Notamacropus eugenii: one gene and its partner. The protein of the gene in region 2 interacts with the protein of the main gene of each other region in a pairwise test. Links are inferred from orthologs where the notes say so. Each region holds a gene or a part of one and is shown on either strand. Other genes may lie near its edges.

The links. The genes of interacting proteins can lie anywhere in the genome.
Region 1: the proteins of ESR1 (region 2) and MED25 interact in a two-hybrid assay, tested with the Homo sapiens proteins (2 studies listed by BioGRID). The link is inferred for Notamacropus eugenii from reciprocal best matches to the Homo sapiens genes ESR1 and MED25.

Annotation. Positions count from the first base shown.
Region 1 is NC_092876.1:12,106,481-12,114,823, reverse strand, and holds the start of MED25 (mediator of RNA polymerase II transcription subunit 25), read left to right. Parts: upstream 1-4,934; 5' UTR 4,935-4,948; coding exon 4,949-5,217; intron 5,218-5,361; coding exon 5,362-5,407; intron 5,408-5,520; coding exon 5,521-5,645; intron 5,646-5,744; coding exon 5,745-5,843; intron 5,844-6,212; coding exon 6,213-6,333; intron 6,334-6,414; coding exon 6,415-6,571; intron 6,572-6,883; coding exon 6,884-7,014; intron 7,015-7,104; coding exon 7,105-7,192; intron 7,193-7,308; coding exon 7,309-7,502; intron 7,503-7,609; coding exon 7,610-7,741; intron 7,742-7,819; coding exon 7,820-7,905; intron 7,906-8,002; coding exon 8,003-8,060; intron 8,061-8,261; coding exon 8,262-8,343. UniProt on the Homo sapiens protein: Component of the Mediator complex, a coactivator involved in the regulated transcription of nearly all RNA polymerase II-dependent genes.
Region 2 is NC_092873.1:243,779,910-243,787,924, reverse strand, and holds the start of ESR1 (estrogen receptor), read right to left. Parts: upstream 3,309-8,015; 5' UTR 3,171-3,308; intron 1-3,170.

The DNA.
Region 1 (8,343 bases), on a different chromosome or scaffold from region 2:
GAAGCCCAGGCCGTGGGAAGGCCTCTCCCCGCAGCGCGGGTGGAGATCGAAGCCTGGCCCGTGGGAAGGCCTCTCCCGCAGCGCGGGCCGAGATCGAAGCCCGGGCCGTGGGAAGGCCTCTCCCGGCAGCGCGGGCCGAGATCGAAGCCTGGCCCGTGGGAAGGCCTCTCCCCGCAGCGCGGGCCGAGATCGAAGCCCAGGCCGTGGGAAGGCCTCTCCCCGCAGCGCGGGTGGAGATCGAAGCCCGGGCCCGTGGGAAGGCCTCTCCCCGCAGCGTGGGTGGAGATCGAAGCCCAGGCCGTGGGAAGGCCTCTCCCCGCAGCGCGGGCCGAGATCGAAGCCCAGGCCGTGGGAAGGCCTCTCCCCGCAGCGCGGGTGGAGATCGAAGCCTGGCCCGTGGGAAGGCCTCTCCCGCAGCGCGGGCCGAGATCGAAGCCTGGCCCGTGGGAAGGCCTCTCCCCGCAGCGTGGGTGGAGATCGAAGCCTGGCCCGTGGGAAGGCCTCTCCCGCAGCGCGGGCCGAGATCGAAGCCCGGGCCCGTGGGAAGGCCTCTCCCGCAGCGCGGGCCGACATCGAAGCCCTTTCTAGAAGCTGCCCCTCCATCCCTGAGCCCAGGGAATGGCCCCAGGGATAACGCACCCTCGTGCGTGATTTAGGCCTGGAGACCCCCAAAGGAACCTGTGAACCGCCCCTCTGAATCTGAAAGGCGGAGGGTCCAGAGCTCTGGGGGAAGGCTGCCCAGGGTGGAAGCCGGGCATCTTTTCTCTTAGCCAACAATCCCATGGTAAAGGGAGCTTGACTTTAGCTGAGGTTTCATCCAGCCTAGGGTCCCAGGGCCGATGTTTTCCCCGGCTGCTGTGATACATCTAGGCCAGGGCAGCTAAGCTGGCTCCTGGCCTGGGCCCGTTGCCCCCGAAGGTGAGATTTTCCCTTGTGTCTCTCCTGGTGCAGGAGAGGCCCCTGGATTCAGGGGGAGCCTGTGGCTGACCAGTGTGATTGAGGAGTACTTCACCTGAAGTGACCGTTCTCCCTCTCCTTTATATAGCTCTACCCCTCTTCCTCCAGAAAGTTTTCTTTTTCTCCAGCCAGATGTCCCGGTGGCAAAAATGCTGGGCCAGGAGTTAGGAAGGCCTGAGTGCAAACCTAGCCTTCCTGGCTGTGTGACTCTAGGCAAGTCACTTAATGTCTGTCTGCCTCCGTTTCTTCAACTATAACATGAAAATAGTGTCGCCTTCCTCCCAGCGTTTCTGTGAGGATCAAAAGAGATTCTATCTGTAGATGCTTAGCACAGTGCCTGGTAGGCACTCAGTGAGGGCGTATTTCCAGCCCTCTCCTCCACATTTTCTCTAGCAGATTGCTTTATCAACCCCTATCTCTCTAATCTCCAGTCTCTTCCTATCCACTGGTTTCTTCTCTGATGCCTATAAATACTCCCATGAACATTCATTAAGTACCTACTATGTGTTGGGCACTCTGCTGGGCTACAATTAACAGAGAGATAGCACTGCAATTAAGAGGGATTACGTGTGATTTTAGTTGGGACTTGAAGGAAGTCTGAGAGCGATCCAGGTCTGGGGAGGTAGGATCTGGTCTACGGAACAGGCAGGAGGCTGATGTCACTTTACTAAAGAGTATGTATTGTGGAGTGAGGTGTAAGGGGAGTATAGGAGCAAGAGGGGACTGGGCTCTGAAGGGCTTTGAACACCAAATTATGTATTTGCTCACAGAGGCAACAGGAAGCTGCAGACCTTTATTGTGTATTGGGGGTGACATTGTTTGACCTGAACTTTGGGATAATCACGTTGGTGGCTGAATGGAGAATGGGTTGGAGTGGGGACCAACTGGAGGCAGGCAAGCCCACCTGTAGCCACGGCAATAATCCAGGCATGAGGTGACACCAGGGTCCGAACCAGGGGCCAAGTCAGAAGAAAGAAGGAAGTATATTAGAGATGCTGCAGAGATAAAATTGACAGGCCTTGGCACCATATTGTATATGAGGGTGGAGTAAGAGAGGTTGAGTCCAGGATGCCTCCTAGGTTGGGAACCTGAGGGACTGGAAGGATGGTGGCACCCTCTACAGCCACAGGCCTTGCAGGGGAAATAACTGAACAAACAAAGGTCTGAACTTCCCGAGCATTCCAAGGAAGTGATGCATAACTATTTCCCAACAAATTGGAACCAATCGCCTTCCTCAGCTTTGGCACTGTACCTTGAAAACAGGGAGACAGATTTGGATACATTAAAAACAATCAAATAATACCAATTAATTAAAATGAAACCACTAACCAGTATATAACATTAGGTCATCTGATTTCTAACTGGAGGAAAGAACACAGACTTTGCAAATTGAGAGGGGGAGAGTGAACTGGTGCAATTCCCTGAAATCAGAAAAAGGCATGTCCCTCTACCCTGCAAGTGTCTGTGTACAATCAAAGATACATGGAAACAATAACTAATCCATACAGGGTCTGTTTGCAGATAAGACATAGGGAGGGATTGCTTGAGATACACAACTCCTGGCATCAGTCTTTGAATCTGACTGGGTTTCTGGTCAGCATAACCTAGGTCCTTGGTTAAGGGTCTCTAAGCAGCAGGAAGAAGGGGTCCAGTTTCCCAGCCATGCAGGGCTAGGACCAAACAATACAAAACTGTTTTCCCTCAATTCCTACAATTGAATAAAATTTTCTCTCAACAAAGAAATTGCACTAGGCCCATAACTGAATAGAAAAGGAACTGAGCCAGCGCCAGACCCGAGTCACAAGATGAAGGGAGTGGTTCCCAGTGTGCTGCCCTGATCCTATCACAGGGTAGGTAGGGGGCTTCATTTGGATGTATTAAGTTTAAGATAGCTACTGGATCTCAGATGTGAGACTGGAGGGCAGTGGAGATACTGGGGCAGAAAAGGTAGATTTGAAAATCATCAGCATGAAGGTGGGAGCTGATGAGGCTATCGAGGGAAGTACTATAGAAGGAAAGGAGAAGAGGTCCTAGGGCAGAAGCCCAAGGGACACCTATGGTTAGAGGGTATGATATGGAAGAGGAGCCAACAAAAGAGGCAGAGGAGGGTTCAGAAAGGTAAGCGGGAAACCAGCAGGGAGTGGTGTTCTGAAAACCTAGAGAGAAGAGAGTGTCAAGGGAGAGAGAGTGACCAATAGTGTCCAAGGCTGCAGAAGTTGAGGACAATGAGAAAAGGCTGGCGGGTTTGGCAGCTAAGAGATCGTTGGTCACCTTGGAGAGAGTGGAGAGTGGAGTCCAGTGGAATGATGAGATCAGAAGCCAGACTGAAAGAGGTTAAGAAGGGAGAGCAGCAGTACACCTGTTGGAGATGCCTTTTCAAGGACTTTAGCTACAAAGGGCAGAAGAGATAACGGATGAGAATTAGCAGGGATGGATTGACTGAAGATTTTTCCAGGAGAGACATGGGTGTGCATATAAGCAGTAGGAAACAAGCCAATAGAAAGAGTGAGGATGATAGAGGGGACAATCTGTTGGAGGAGATGGAATGGAATAGGATTACTTGAAAAAGAGGGGTTAACTTTAGTAAGGAGCAAGGCCGCTTCATCATATGAGACTGGAAGGAGGAGAAAGCACCTGAACGATAGATGGGGAAGAGGGGAAAAGAGGGAGCTCATGTTGACTGGCCTCACTTGTGCAGGCAAAAAGGTGAAAAACAGTGGGAGAGCCAAGGCTGAAGCTTGTCTGGGTGTAACTGGTAATATTAGGGGGCAAGAGCAACAAGGTGAAATGGATTCATCAACAAGTCAAGATGGGGACAAAATGAGAGCGTGGCTAGGGCAGGGGAGATGGCCTAGGAGAGACTTGCAGGGCCGGGGGATTGGAAGTCCAGTGAGAATGAAGGATAAGGCTTATGGAAAAGAAGGCAGAGGGAGAGGTGAAGAGCCACTCGATTACGATCAGGTACAAGGATTGTGGAATTCTCGAATACTGAAGGGATGCATTTGTAGGGGTGTATGCGTGGCTGAGGCAGGGTAGCACAGCTCGAGGAGGGCATAAGTTGGGGCAGCACTCCACATGTCCTTGAGATGACTTCAGTAGGTACCATCTCTCTTGCTACCTGCAGTCCGACCTTTTTTGTCCTTTTCTCCTGAACTTCTTGAAGAAGCCGTCCGTACCCAATACTTGTATTTCTTCTCCTCTCCCTTCATTCTGTACCTTCTGTGATCTGGCTTCCAGCCGAAACAGGTCTCTCAGCCTGACTCAGTTTCACGGCGTTCTCAGGGGTCCCCCTTTGTGACGTCTTTCCCGGACCCCCTTCTTTTCTTCCTGGATGCTGTGTCACGGGTTAGCTTCTCCACCAGACGGTTCTCGGGTCTTCGGGCCTCATCCCTGTTAAGCCATCTCAGACATCTTGGACTCAGCATGCCCCCGACGTAGCCCTCAACCGTCCCCGCTTCCTAGGACCGCAGGCTTGCCCAGCCCATGCGTCTGGTCATCTTCTCTCTGCCCGGGGGGGTGGGGAGGATGGAGCTTCAGAAGTTCGGGCACCTGTTCCGGGCCACAGGGGGAAGACGAGGAGGCTGAAGCACGTGTGTGTGTCCGAGCGGGAGCGGAGGCGCGCGGCCGGCGGGGAGCGTCGGGGTGGAGTTGCCTAGCAACCGGCCAAGGACGCGAGAACGCGGGAGCCTAGCAACCACAGGGCGCGCACGCCCCGGGGAACGTCGGGCCCTGCGAGGGCGGCGCAGGGAGGACGCGTTGCCAGGCGACCGCCCTCCTCGGCGAGACTCTCGCCGGTTTGGGAGGGCATCGCGAGATGAGACGTTGCCGGGCGACCGCCCCCGGGGCGCGCTTCAGCGGCGGGCATCCGCCCAGCTCCAAGATGGCGACCGGCGAGCTGTGCCGTCACCCAGCAACCCTCTGCGTGAGAGGCCGCCCCTCCCGGCGATTGGCTTGTGGGGCCGGGCCTCCGCTCGGCCCGCCCCGCACCAACATGGCCGCCCCGCCTGCGTCATCAGGAGCGCGCCAGGAGCGGCGGCGCCTCGTCGAGGGTGCGGCCAGGGCTGCCGCGGCGACCACGGGAGGGGACCGAGGCGGCGGCGGCGGAGGCAGCCGCGCGGGGCTCGGGATGGTGCCCGGGGCCGAGGGGCCGGCCCGCGCCGGAGGCCTGGTGGCCGACGTGGTCTTCGTCATCGAGGGCACGGCCAACCTGGGTCCCTACTTCGAGGGGCTGCGGAAGCACTACCTGCTGCCGGCCATCGAGTGCGTGCGTGCGTGTGTGCGTGCGTGCGCGGCCCCGCCGGGACCCCTGCCCCTCCCCTCCCCGCGTGGGGCCCGCACCCCCTGACCCTTGACTCCTGACCGCTCCCTCGCGCTGCCCTGACCGCGCCTATTCTCGCTCGCTAGGTACTTCAATGGAGGTCCCCCGGCGGAGACCGACTTTGGAGGAGACGTGAGCGAGGGCCCCTGGGGGTGGGGACTAGGGGATCTGGAGGGACGGGGGCTCTGGGGGGGGCCGGGCTCGCGGGAGGTGAGCACGGCAGCTCCCCCCTGCTCTGTCCGCAGTACGGGGGCACGCAGTACAGCCTGGTGGTGTTCAACACCGTGGACTGCGCCCCCGAGTCCTACGTGCAGTGCCATGCGCCCACCAGCAGCGCGTACGAGTTTGTCACGTGGCTGGACGGCATCCAGTGAGTGCGGGGCGGGACGGGGACGGGAGGGGGCCGGGGGTTAGGGGAGCGGGGCCCCGGGCCGGAGGGGCAGCCCAGCTGGCTCCTGGCTCCCTGCAGGTTCATGGGAGGCGGCGGCGAGAGCTGCAGTCTCATAGCGGAGGGGCTGAGCACGGCCCTGCAGCTGTTCGATGACTTCAAGAAGATGCGCGAGCAGATGTGAGCGGGGGCGGGGCCCAGGACTGGGGGCGGGGGAAGGCTGGGCTGGGGGCGTGGCCCAGAGCTGGGGGCGGGGGAAGGCTGGACTGGGGGCGTGGCCCAGAGTTGGGGGCGTGGCAGGCTGGGCTGGGGAGCCAAGGTTGGGCTGGGGGCGGGGGGAAGGCTGGAGTGGGGGCGGGGCAGGCTGGGCTGGGGAGCCAGGGGTGGGACCCAGGGCTGAGGGCTAGGGAGGCTGGACTGGGGGCGGGGCCCAGAGTTGGGGGCGTGGCAGGCTGGGCTGGGGAGCCAAGGTTGGGCTGGGGGCGGGGCCCAGGCATGGGGGGACCCAGCTCCCCCGCTCCCTGGCTGAGCCCCCTTTTTCCTTCCCAGTGGCCAGACGCATCGGGTCTGCCTTCTCATCTGCAACTCTCCCCCATACCTGCTGCCGGCCGTGGAGAGCACCACGTACTCGGGCTACACCACCGAGAGCCTGGTGCAGAAGATCGGGGAGGTCTGTGGGGCAGTCGGACAGGGGGAGCCGCAGTGGGGGCCGCGCTGGGGGCCGACTCTGAGGGTCTCCTCCCTCCCACAGCGAGGCATCCACTTCTCCATTGTGTCCCCGCGGAAGCTGCCGGCCCTGCGGCTCTTGTTCGAGAAGGCGGCGCCGCCGGCGATCCTGGAGACGCAACCAGCGGATGTGAGCCAGGATCCACGGCACATGGTGCTGGTGCGAGGCCTGGTGCTGCCAGGTCGGTGCCAAGGAGCACAGTGGTAGGTGTGGGGGGGGCAGGACAGATGGCTTTGCCTGCTCCTGTGCTTGTCTGGTGGTGGCCCCATTCCTTGCATTAGCGACCAGGGACCCAGCTCCTTGGTGAGCTCCAAGATCTTCAGGAGCAGAAGGGGAACAAAGGGGAGCTTGGTTCTGGCTCAGCTGGGTCCTGACCCTGCGGGGGGTGGTGGGGTCCAAGGTGGGCAATGGCTTCTGGTCTGGGCCTAGCATCTGAGTGCTTTGCTAAAGTTGCTTGTTTTCCTCTGGCATTTCTGGCCCTACCACCCCTCAGTGGGTGGAGGTTCTGGCCCAGGCCCCCTCCAGTCCAAGCAGCCCGTGCCACTACCTCCAGCACCACCCCCTGGGACCTCCCTCTCGGCTGCACCCCCTCAGCCACTGCCTCCTGTTTCCCAGCCCTACCAGGTATGCAACAGGGTTATCTAGGAAAGAGGGGGTGAGGGGCTGGGTCTGGGGATAGTGGGGGCTCCCAGGGCTGTCTGCCCCTCCTTCCAGGTGTCCAGTAATCTCAGTGCAGCTCAGGTGGCTGCTCAAAATGCTGTGGATGCTGCCAAGAACCAGAAGGCAGGACTGGGCCCACGCTGTGAGTATTGAGGGAGGGGGGGCATTCTGGGTGGGGAAGAGGAGTCATCCGTGAGGGATGGACCCTCTGTAGGCACCCCAGGGCCCTGCTCTGCAACTTGTTTTCTCTCCTGGCAGTCTCACCCATCAACCCTCTGCAGACAGCGGCCCCAGGAGTGGGCCCCCCGTTCAGCCAGGCTCCAGCCCCTCCGCTCCCTCCTGGGCCCCCTGGGGCTCCCAAGCTGCCCCCAGCCTCCCAGCCTAGCCTGGTGGCAGCAGTTGCTCCTGGGTCTGGGCTGGCCTCTGCTACCCAGTCTGGAGGGCCCCCCATGGTACGTGCTTGCCCTATCTGAGCTCTCTGACACATACTATTCCCTCAGGGTCCCCTGTCCTGGGTTCTCTGTGGCTGACCCTCTGCTCTCCTGTTTCCTGTGAGCAGGCTGGCTCTGTGGCTGCGGCCGGGGTGAGTGGGCCAAGCCCGGCTCAGCTGGGGAGTTCCGCACTTGGGGCTGGGCAGCAGTCAGTCACCAACAAGGTCCTGGCATGGAGTGGTGTCCTTGAGTGGCAGGAGGTAGGTGGGTCTGGAGGAGAGGGGTGAGGCAGATGGGTAGGGAGGAGGGGCTCCCGTGACACTGCCTCTGCCTTCCAGAAACCCAAACCGGCCTCAGTGGATGCCAACACGAAGCTGACAAGGTCCCTGCCCTGCCAGGTCTATGTGAACCAGGGAGAGAACCTGTGAGTGTGGGGGGTGGTCTAGGTGGGGTAGAGGAGTGGAGGAGAGGCAGGAGGCAGGGGAGGGGTGAGAACCACAGATCTTCTCTGTTCTCTGCAGGAAGACAGAGCAGTGGCCCCAGAAGCTGATCATGCAGCTTATCCCACAGCAGCTGCTGGTGAGAGCAGGGCCTGGGGCTCCCCTTCTCCCTGAGCTGCAGGCCCACCCCAGGCCCCCTTGGGCCATGTTTCAACGGCCTCCGCTGGTCCCTGCTACCTGTCTGCCCTCGTCCCTTCTCTCAGCTTGTCTGTTCTGGTCCCTCTTCTTGGGGCCCCTCACCAACCCCTGCTGCACATATTCCTGTCTTTTTTTTTTGCAGACCACACTGGGTCCTCTCTTTAGAAATTCCAGAATGGTCCAGTTTCATTTCACCAACAAGGATCTGGAATCTCTCAAAGGCC
Region 2 (8,015 bases):
GGAATGATGATGTATGAATCTTTTTTTAATAATCATCAATCATCATCATCATCATCATGTTTATAAAGTGCTTTGAGATTAGAAAGTGCTTTGTACATACTATCACATCCCCTCAACAACACTGTAAAGGAATTGTTCTTATTGTCCCCATTTTAAAGATGAGGAAACTGAGTTTGAGAGAGGTTGTGTCTTGACCAAGGTCACAGTTAGCTGGTAACTGTCTGAGGGAGGATTTGAATTCAGGCCCTCCTGACTGCAAGTCTAGCACTATAGTTTACAATTATGCTTAAATTTTGCCTAAGTTGTCTAATATTTTAGGATAGTAGCTTCTCAGGGAAAGGAATGCAGAATCACAGAATGTTAATGCTGGAAGGAATGCTCTAACATATATACAGAGTCATAGTATAGGTCTTTTGATTGGTACTGAGAGATGAGATAACTTAGCCAAGATCACATAGCCAGTATGTATTAGACTCGAATTCATGTCTTGCTGACAACAAGACTGGTTTTCTATCCATTGTATCATGCTGCCTCAGGAAAGCACAATCACAGCCTTCTTGAGGCGCAGTAAACTAAATTATCTATCCTAGGATAAATACGCAAAGTATGTTCAGTTTCCCACCTGGGCGAGTTCTCCTGAGATGTTTCCAAGAAGGTTAATTGTAGATGCACCACCAGCACTACTCTCAGCATTATAAAATGTAAATTTTAAAAGCATCTATTTTACATGGGGCATGATGCCAAATCCTACTTAAAACAAGCTAGACAGCCAAGGTGTGTTCATCCTTCCTAGAGAAAGACATCACTCACCCACCCACTAGCAGCTAAGGGCTTTGAGTTTGGTTCTCCCTTTGGTGACAATAAGCTACACCCTACCAAAAAAAAGACCTCATTTTTTTTGCCTAATCTTAACCAATAGTATGCATCTGTGAAGGGCTAGACTGTATTAGGGACATATAATCTATGGCTCTAAAATAGAATTTTTTCTCTTTAATGTTAACTGAGCAACCCACTAGAAGTTCAAACCTAGGACCTTGGCCCCATTAGAACTAAGGGAACAGAGTAGTTATAGACAGATATGCAGAGGATATCCAGATAACATGAAAAAAAATGAGGGAGGAGCCATCAGAAATTATTTCTAACATATAGATGTCAGGTATAAATGTATCTGAGAGGTCTAAAGTAAGCATGTTGCCTATCACTCCCTAACTCCCCCCAAGATAGCAGATTGTAGAGCTGAAGTTAAATTTTAGGAAATAGGGTTCATGTGAGTAGACAACAGTTATGTAACTATGTCCTCATTGCTAATTCAAGAAACATATGATCTGTCCCTCTCCCTGTCACAAATTATATGTATTTCCACATTACTAAGAAAAAGGTTCTATTGACAAATCCTGGTAGCTTAAAGCATTATATAAATGTTATTATTTTTGAAATTAAGCCTCTTGCTCCCTAGTCAACATTAATCATATCTAAATTATTGATAATTACTCATTTTTTTTAATTTAAAAACCCCATGACAAATTCTGCGGCAGTATTTCATGTGTCCAGAAGCCTAGTAGGTATCATTAAGATACCCATGGAATAAAATAAATATTAATGAAATAAAACAAGAAGTGGCTGCATGGAATAGATTTGAGAGTCTGACCTAGAGTAGGGAGGATGTAGGTTCCAGTTCCACCTCTGACACTTACTGATGACACGATCTTGAGTGAATCACTGCTGCCAGGCAACTCTGTAAGACTATAAATCGGGAATCCACATTGATAGAGGGCATTTCCTCACCTGCAAGCTCCCTTCACTGATGAAATTACAGGTCTGAACAACAACAACAAAAGGTGTCAAAAAAACCATCAAAAATGATGCCTCCTTTTAGCAAATAGAGAAATGGAGGTAAAAAGACAATTAGTAAATTACTCATGAGCAAATAGGAAGTGATTTAAAACAACCGCTTTAATTGCTTTGGTCCTTTGTGCATTTTTTTAAATGCTCAGTGCATTTTGAGTGGTTAGTCTATGTTCGTCCTCATCTTGCACCTGAGCTAGCTTATAATTAAACAACCAAAAAACACATACACCTCAAACAACACTACTTTCCCAGCAAGCTCCTTCTCAGAGTTGTTCTGCAAGTTTATTCAATCTTGTCCATGAAGCCATGTGAAATCCGGTACCTTGATTTGGACTCCATGCCTTGATTTAATGTCCTGAGACAATCTTACCCTTATATCTATATGCAAACATAGGTATTTTTTAAATTATATCATCTCCTATGGGGAGGCTAGTTCCCTTCTTGCTACAGAGTTAAATTGACATTTCCTGAAACTTGTGGCTTTCCTCTCACCAAAATGAAAGTGTACCGTCCTTGCTGTGTGCTTTTGCCACATCATTACTGGACTAGCACCATGTGACACCGTCATATGTGGTACAGTCATTAATGAGGACACCAGCCTGCTGAAACAAACAAACCAATTTTTTTTTCCTTTTTCACACAAAAGAAAACTGAGGTCAAGAGTCGAAATAAATTGCTTGAGATTATAATGCAAATCAATGACAAGGTCCTTCTTCCTAGGCTCCTATCACTGGATTAGGCTGCTTTTTGGAAATCTTCCTTTCTTCTAGGAAACAGCTTGTTCAAAATATTTGGTTGGAACTGCCAAAAGTTGCTGTATTTCTACTATAACATAACAGGTAGTTGCCATATGTTCATGACAACTTCAGTGTATTCTCTATCAGATCTCATCAATGTGCACAGTTGGCCAAATAGAGAGACTTAGGTGATTCTGGAATATTTCTGTGGATTTCATGGAGAGAGCTGTGTCCAAAAAATATATTTTGTTGGGAGCAGTAAGTCCGTCACTACTGCACTAAGAAAAGGGTACTCTTCTTGCCCTCTGACTCAGCTGATTATGATTCCAAAAGTGAATTTCCATTGCACTTAGTTCAGACTTAACACTTGAACATAGTAACACTCTGGCCAACAGACTTTGTAAATATCCCTCAAGTCATATGGAAAAAGAAAGTGAATGGCTGTAAGCACTAGAGTTACAACATACTTGTAAATAACATGCACACACACCAATACACATACACACAGATTCCTTCCCCCTCAAAAAAAAGAGGGGGAAAAAAGACAAGAAAAAGAAAGGGGAGGAAAGAAATAGGAATACCTACTTGGACAGAAGAATCTCCCTCACAGCCTGTCTGTCTTCTTATACTATAGAATATGCAGGAGGAAGGATTATTAACCTTTCTAGCCCATTAAACAGCTTCTGTGCATGTGCCCTTGCATTCTCTGTTTTGGTGAAATCTGCTCTGTGGCAATACACAGGAGGTTGTTATGACCAAGAAATTAGGAAATGCAAAGCCTCAAAAATGAAAAGCTAGCACCACCATTTGACTAGAAGTGGAAAAATCTCTCTGAAAAAATGAAAGGCCTGCCTTTTCTCCATGCTAGGTCAGATTTTTCAACTTTCTGAGCATTTCAGGCTAGGGTAGAGGTTTGACAAAAAGTGGAATGTGTGTCATTAATCTGCCAGCAAAACTAATACAGTCCAGCTGATGTGTTTTCTGCCTGTAATAAAGCATAAAGTCTTGACAGGGGTGAATCTAACTAGGAAAAAGCATTTGTTCAGCACATAAATTTTGTGAACCTCAATTAGTTGCTGCTAAAAGCCATATGAAAACTCATGGGAAAGGGATTCTAGTCATGCCATTCAACCATTCCTTCTACCCATTTTCCTTCTTGACACTGAATAATTGGTTACTTAACTATAGTCAGCCTAGCCTAGATTAGCTTCTCCATGACTTTTAAGCCCTTCCCTCCATCATATGATCTTCTTATAAACTGTCTGGCATTTCCTGCAGTGATTTAAGTTTCTCTTTGACCCAGGAGATAAACATTTTGAAGTAGAAAATGAGCTAATAAAAGGACCTGGGAATTTAAAGAGCTTTTGAAACCTGTTTGTAATTTAAGAGTTTGTATCTTAAAGGTCTTTAAAAAATAAAAAAAGCTTAGTTGATGAACTTTGGTTTACTGTAAAAAAAAAAAAACTAAGGAGTTTTTGGGACAGGAGAGGAATAGATAGGAGGAAAAGCATCTCTCATATCTACTTTGCTAGACAAGTTGCCATTTCTTAAATGGAGAAGTTCCTTAAAACAGGAAAAAAGATAGACAATCAAAAACCAAGAAAGACAAAGATAGACAGACAGACCTAGGACAGGTAGACAGAGAGGAAGAGAAACAGAGAGAGAGAATGAGAGAGAAGGAGGGAGGGAGAGAGGGAAGTAAGGAAGGAAGGAAGAAAAGCTAGGGGAGTTGCCCAAGTAGGAAGTTTAGAGGGTTCAAAAGGAAGCCCTTCCTCTTTGTAATTTTAAGATTAGTGACAAGTAAAAGATAAATTATCCAATAAATCAATTCTTTGAATAGAAGTTTAAGAAAAATAACATTAAAAGCTTTTTCTGTATTAATCACTCAGTTATATGATTTGCAGACATTTCTGCCTTTTACTGCCAAATCTTTTGAGTCACTCATATGCCTCAGTGCATAGTTACCTATACATAAGTATATGATTAAAGATACAGTAGTACTTCAACAACTGAGAGATCTGTAGGAAGTACTGTGAAACCCTGTAAAATTATAATAGCTGACACTTACTTTACGTACTGATCTGGGAATATAAAATCTCATCTGATCCTCCCAAGAACCCTGTGAGGCAGATGGCACAAGTATTATTCCCCCATTTTACATGATGACAGGGAGGCTAAATGAGGACAAATAATTTGCCCAAAATGACACAGCTACTAAGTAGTAGAACTAGAACTCAAATTCAGATTTTTTTGGCTCATCCCAGGATTCTTTTCACTATACCATCCTGCTTTTCTAATTACATATCACCTTTCTTTTCCCATATTAGTTTCTGGAGAAGATACATAATTCTTCATGTGCCCTTTCAAGAGAACAATATCCACAATGACCATGATGTAATGGAAAACAAGGCTTAAAGGTGTGAGTTAGATTAGTGCCCTGAGCAATCTTGACTCTAGAGGATTGATGATAAGATATTCCTTATTCCTGTCAGTGGAGAGGTGGTAGACTACAAGTGCTGAATAAGGTATATGCTGTCAGGCATGATCAGCGCATTTGTTTGGTTTGTTTAACTGTACTGCTTTGTTGCAAGAGGAGGTTCTAACATTGGCAGAATGGTCCTTGGAAAGGATAGCTACAACCAAAAAAAGCTTCAATGAAAGATTTTTTAAAATATTTTCTCTCTTATTTTGTCATAAAATTTGCAACTGTTTAGTTGAATGGAATTCATCATCAATAACCAGAATAAATGATGAGAAAGTTAGCAAATTAGGATTTAAAGCAAACTGTCAAAACATAAGACAAATTTCAATGAACATTCGTTAACCACCTACAATGTCCAAGGCTCTGTGCTCAGTATGGGCATACAAAGAAAAAAAGAAAAAGAAAAAAAAAAGAAAAGAAACTTCCTTCTATTTCACTACTCAGATTTACTTCCCCAATATAACTTATTCAACTGACACATAAAGCCAAGAATTTAATTATAACTAGACTGAAACTGACAATTAAAAAAAAAACAATCCCAGGGTAAACATATAGTTCATCCAGGGTCACACTGCAACTAATATCCTGAAATCTTTTATGAAGCATTGAAGACAATGTAACTGTGGCATCTTGCCATCCATTACTGCCCCCCAATGTAACCCAAGTTCCCAGTAAAGACCAGGTTTCAACTAGCAAAGTAAATCAGAGAAATGAGGCAATATATCTGGGTCATTCAAGCAGAAATCTATTTTGTCTGACATCCAGACTAAAGCAGATTTTTTTTCATCTAATGGTTCAGTCAATAATAGGGTTTAGACATGAATTCCATAGATCATCTTTTTCTAGCCCTAATAATCGAGATCTCGCCAATGAGTATCCTTTAAAATTTCCCCTCAACTTGATTATAGTACCCAAGTGACTCTGAACTTCTTTTTTCATTAAATGACAAACTTAGTATGAAACTCTGCTCTCCAATTAGCCAGCCTATGGGAGTTTCCTAAGGTAAATGTCATTCTCGTGTATAAGATCAAGGCCCGGAAAGTCACAACATTATACTTCTGCCCAGTCTCTGAGTAGAGATTATTGAAAACATAGTCATAAGTCATAATATAGTCAACATCCACTACTTACTTACCTTTCAGTATGATTTACTCAAAACTTAAAGAACTTGGAGAGCAGCCAGCAAAAGACAATTCAAGTCTTCAAAAAAAAAAAATGTATAGTTTTACTTCAGTAGCCCAGTCAACCAGAAAATATTGTGGGAGAGAAATCAACAAATTTAGTTAAAGTTCACAGTTCTCATAATTTTAAATTTTAAATCTCACTGTGTAAATCACAAATGATTTGCACAAATGGTTTGCACTTCATAAATGCTTTTTTCATTTATTCTGTATGCAAAAGGAAATAATAAAATGAAGCTGTAAACATTCTAAAGAGGAAGAGTTGTGTGTATGCACATGTTTTAAAAATCTACTTTCAGGATGACTGGTTTGTCAGAACAAGTAAGATACCTGAGAGATTAAAGCATTTCAAAAGGAGAAAAGCTATTAATATTTCACTTGGTCTTCAGAAGCAGCTTGGACATAGCATAAACGAAGATAGTAGATGAATAGCTCCTTCCAAATTCTAAGGGACAATCTTCAACACTAAATGCAGTGTGAAAATAGACGGGTACAACAATCCGGGACTTTCTCTTCAATACTTTGCAGTGGGTTTGACCTTTCAGACTACAAATCAGGGAGGGGACTAGTTCGAAGGAGTCTCAAGATAAAGTTGCTAACAGTGGAGAAGCACATAGATCACTAAAGAGTTATTAGCTGTCCTAACAAAGTGCAAGCTGCTTGAAGACAGGACCTGTTTTCCTTTGTATTCTAAAAGTCTATTACAGAACCTGATATATAGTAGGTTTTACTAAATACTTGCTGGATTGGATATAATATGAACTGAGAATTATTTTTAAATCATATAAAAGAATGGAATTTTCATCAAATCACAGATTCTTTTCAAAGTGTCAAGAAGCTAAAGTCTAATATCTTAACTGGAGGAGAACACTTCTCTATTGAATCAATCAATAAATCATGGGCTTTAGACTAAGTACAGAAAAAAGTCCTTGTTTGATTAACTAGAGTGACTTTGCACAGGAATTATATTCCAATTAACTGAGGAAATTGTTATGTCATGTCAATAATCTATAAAAATCAGGTCATTTGGGGCCTGAAGGATTTGAGGAAGTAGAGAGGAGAAAACATTCCATCAAAATTCCTAAGAAAGAATTCATGCAGAAGGAGAAACCAGGCCCTGGGCTTTGATCTTCTTGTCAGTCTCCTCATCTCCTCCTCCCCACTCCCAGTCAAAGAGGACCCTCTCAGACTTAGGAGGACCAAATTAGGAGTCAAGGACAGACAAGACAGATTCCAGGCTCTATAAAGAGCACACCAGAAAATCTAAACAATATCCAATAGGAACGTTTTTATGATGCCAACAAGAGGTTTTTCCAGAACCTGTGTTATCCTTTGCCACATGTGCTTTTTAACCTTGAATTTACTTTCCCCTGGATTCTATATATATACTTACTAGAGAGTGTCACAGAACTTTTCTGGGGATGCTTTGTACCAACTCTACTACTGTAATAAATACCCCTTTCTAAAACTAAATGTCTGGCTGACAGATTGATCATAAACTTATAATTTTGGCAGGAAGCACACTGGTGGGGACTCAAAAGCCTTAGAAAGATATCTCTTCAGGATTAGCCCTAGAGCCTTAAGGAGACTTAGCTATAGTCTTTGGACCTTATTTATCAGTACAAGTGAGAACTGGGATAAAGACTTCCAGAATTTATGAGTCTACCAAAAAAAAAACCACTTAATGAGTTTATAATCTTATAATTGAGAGACAAGACTGCCACAGGAAATAATTAAAGAATGATGGAAGATCATGCAAGAGTAAAG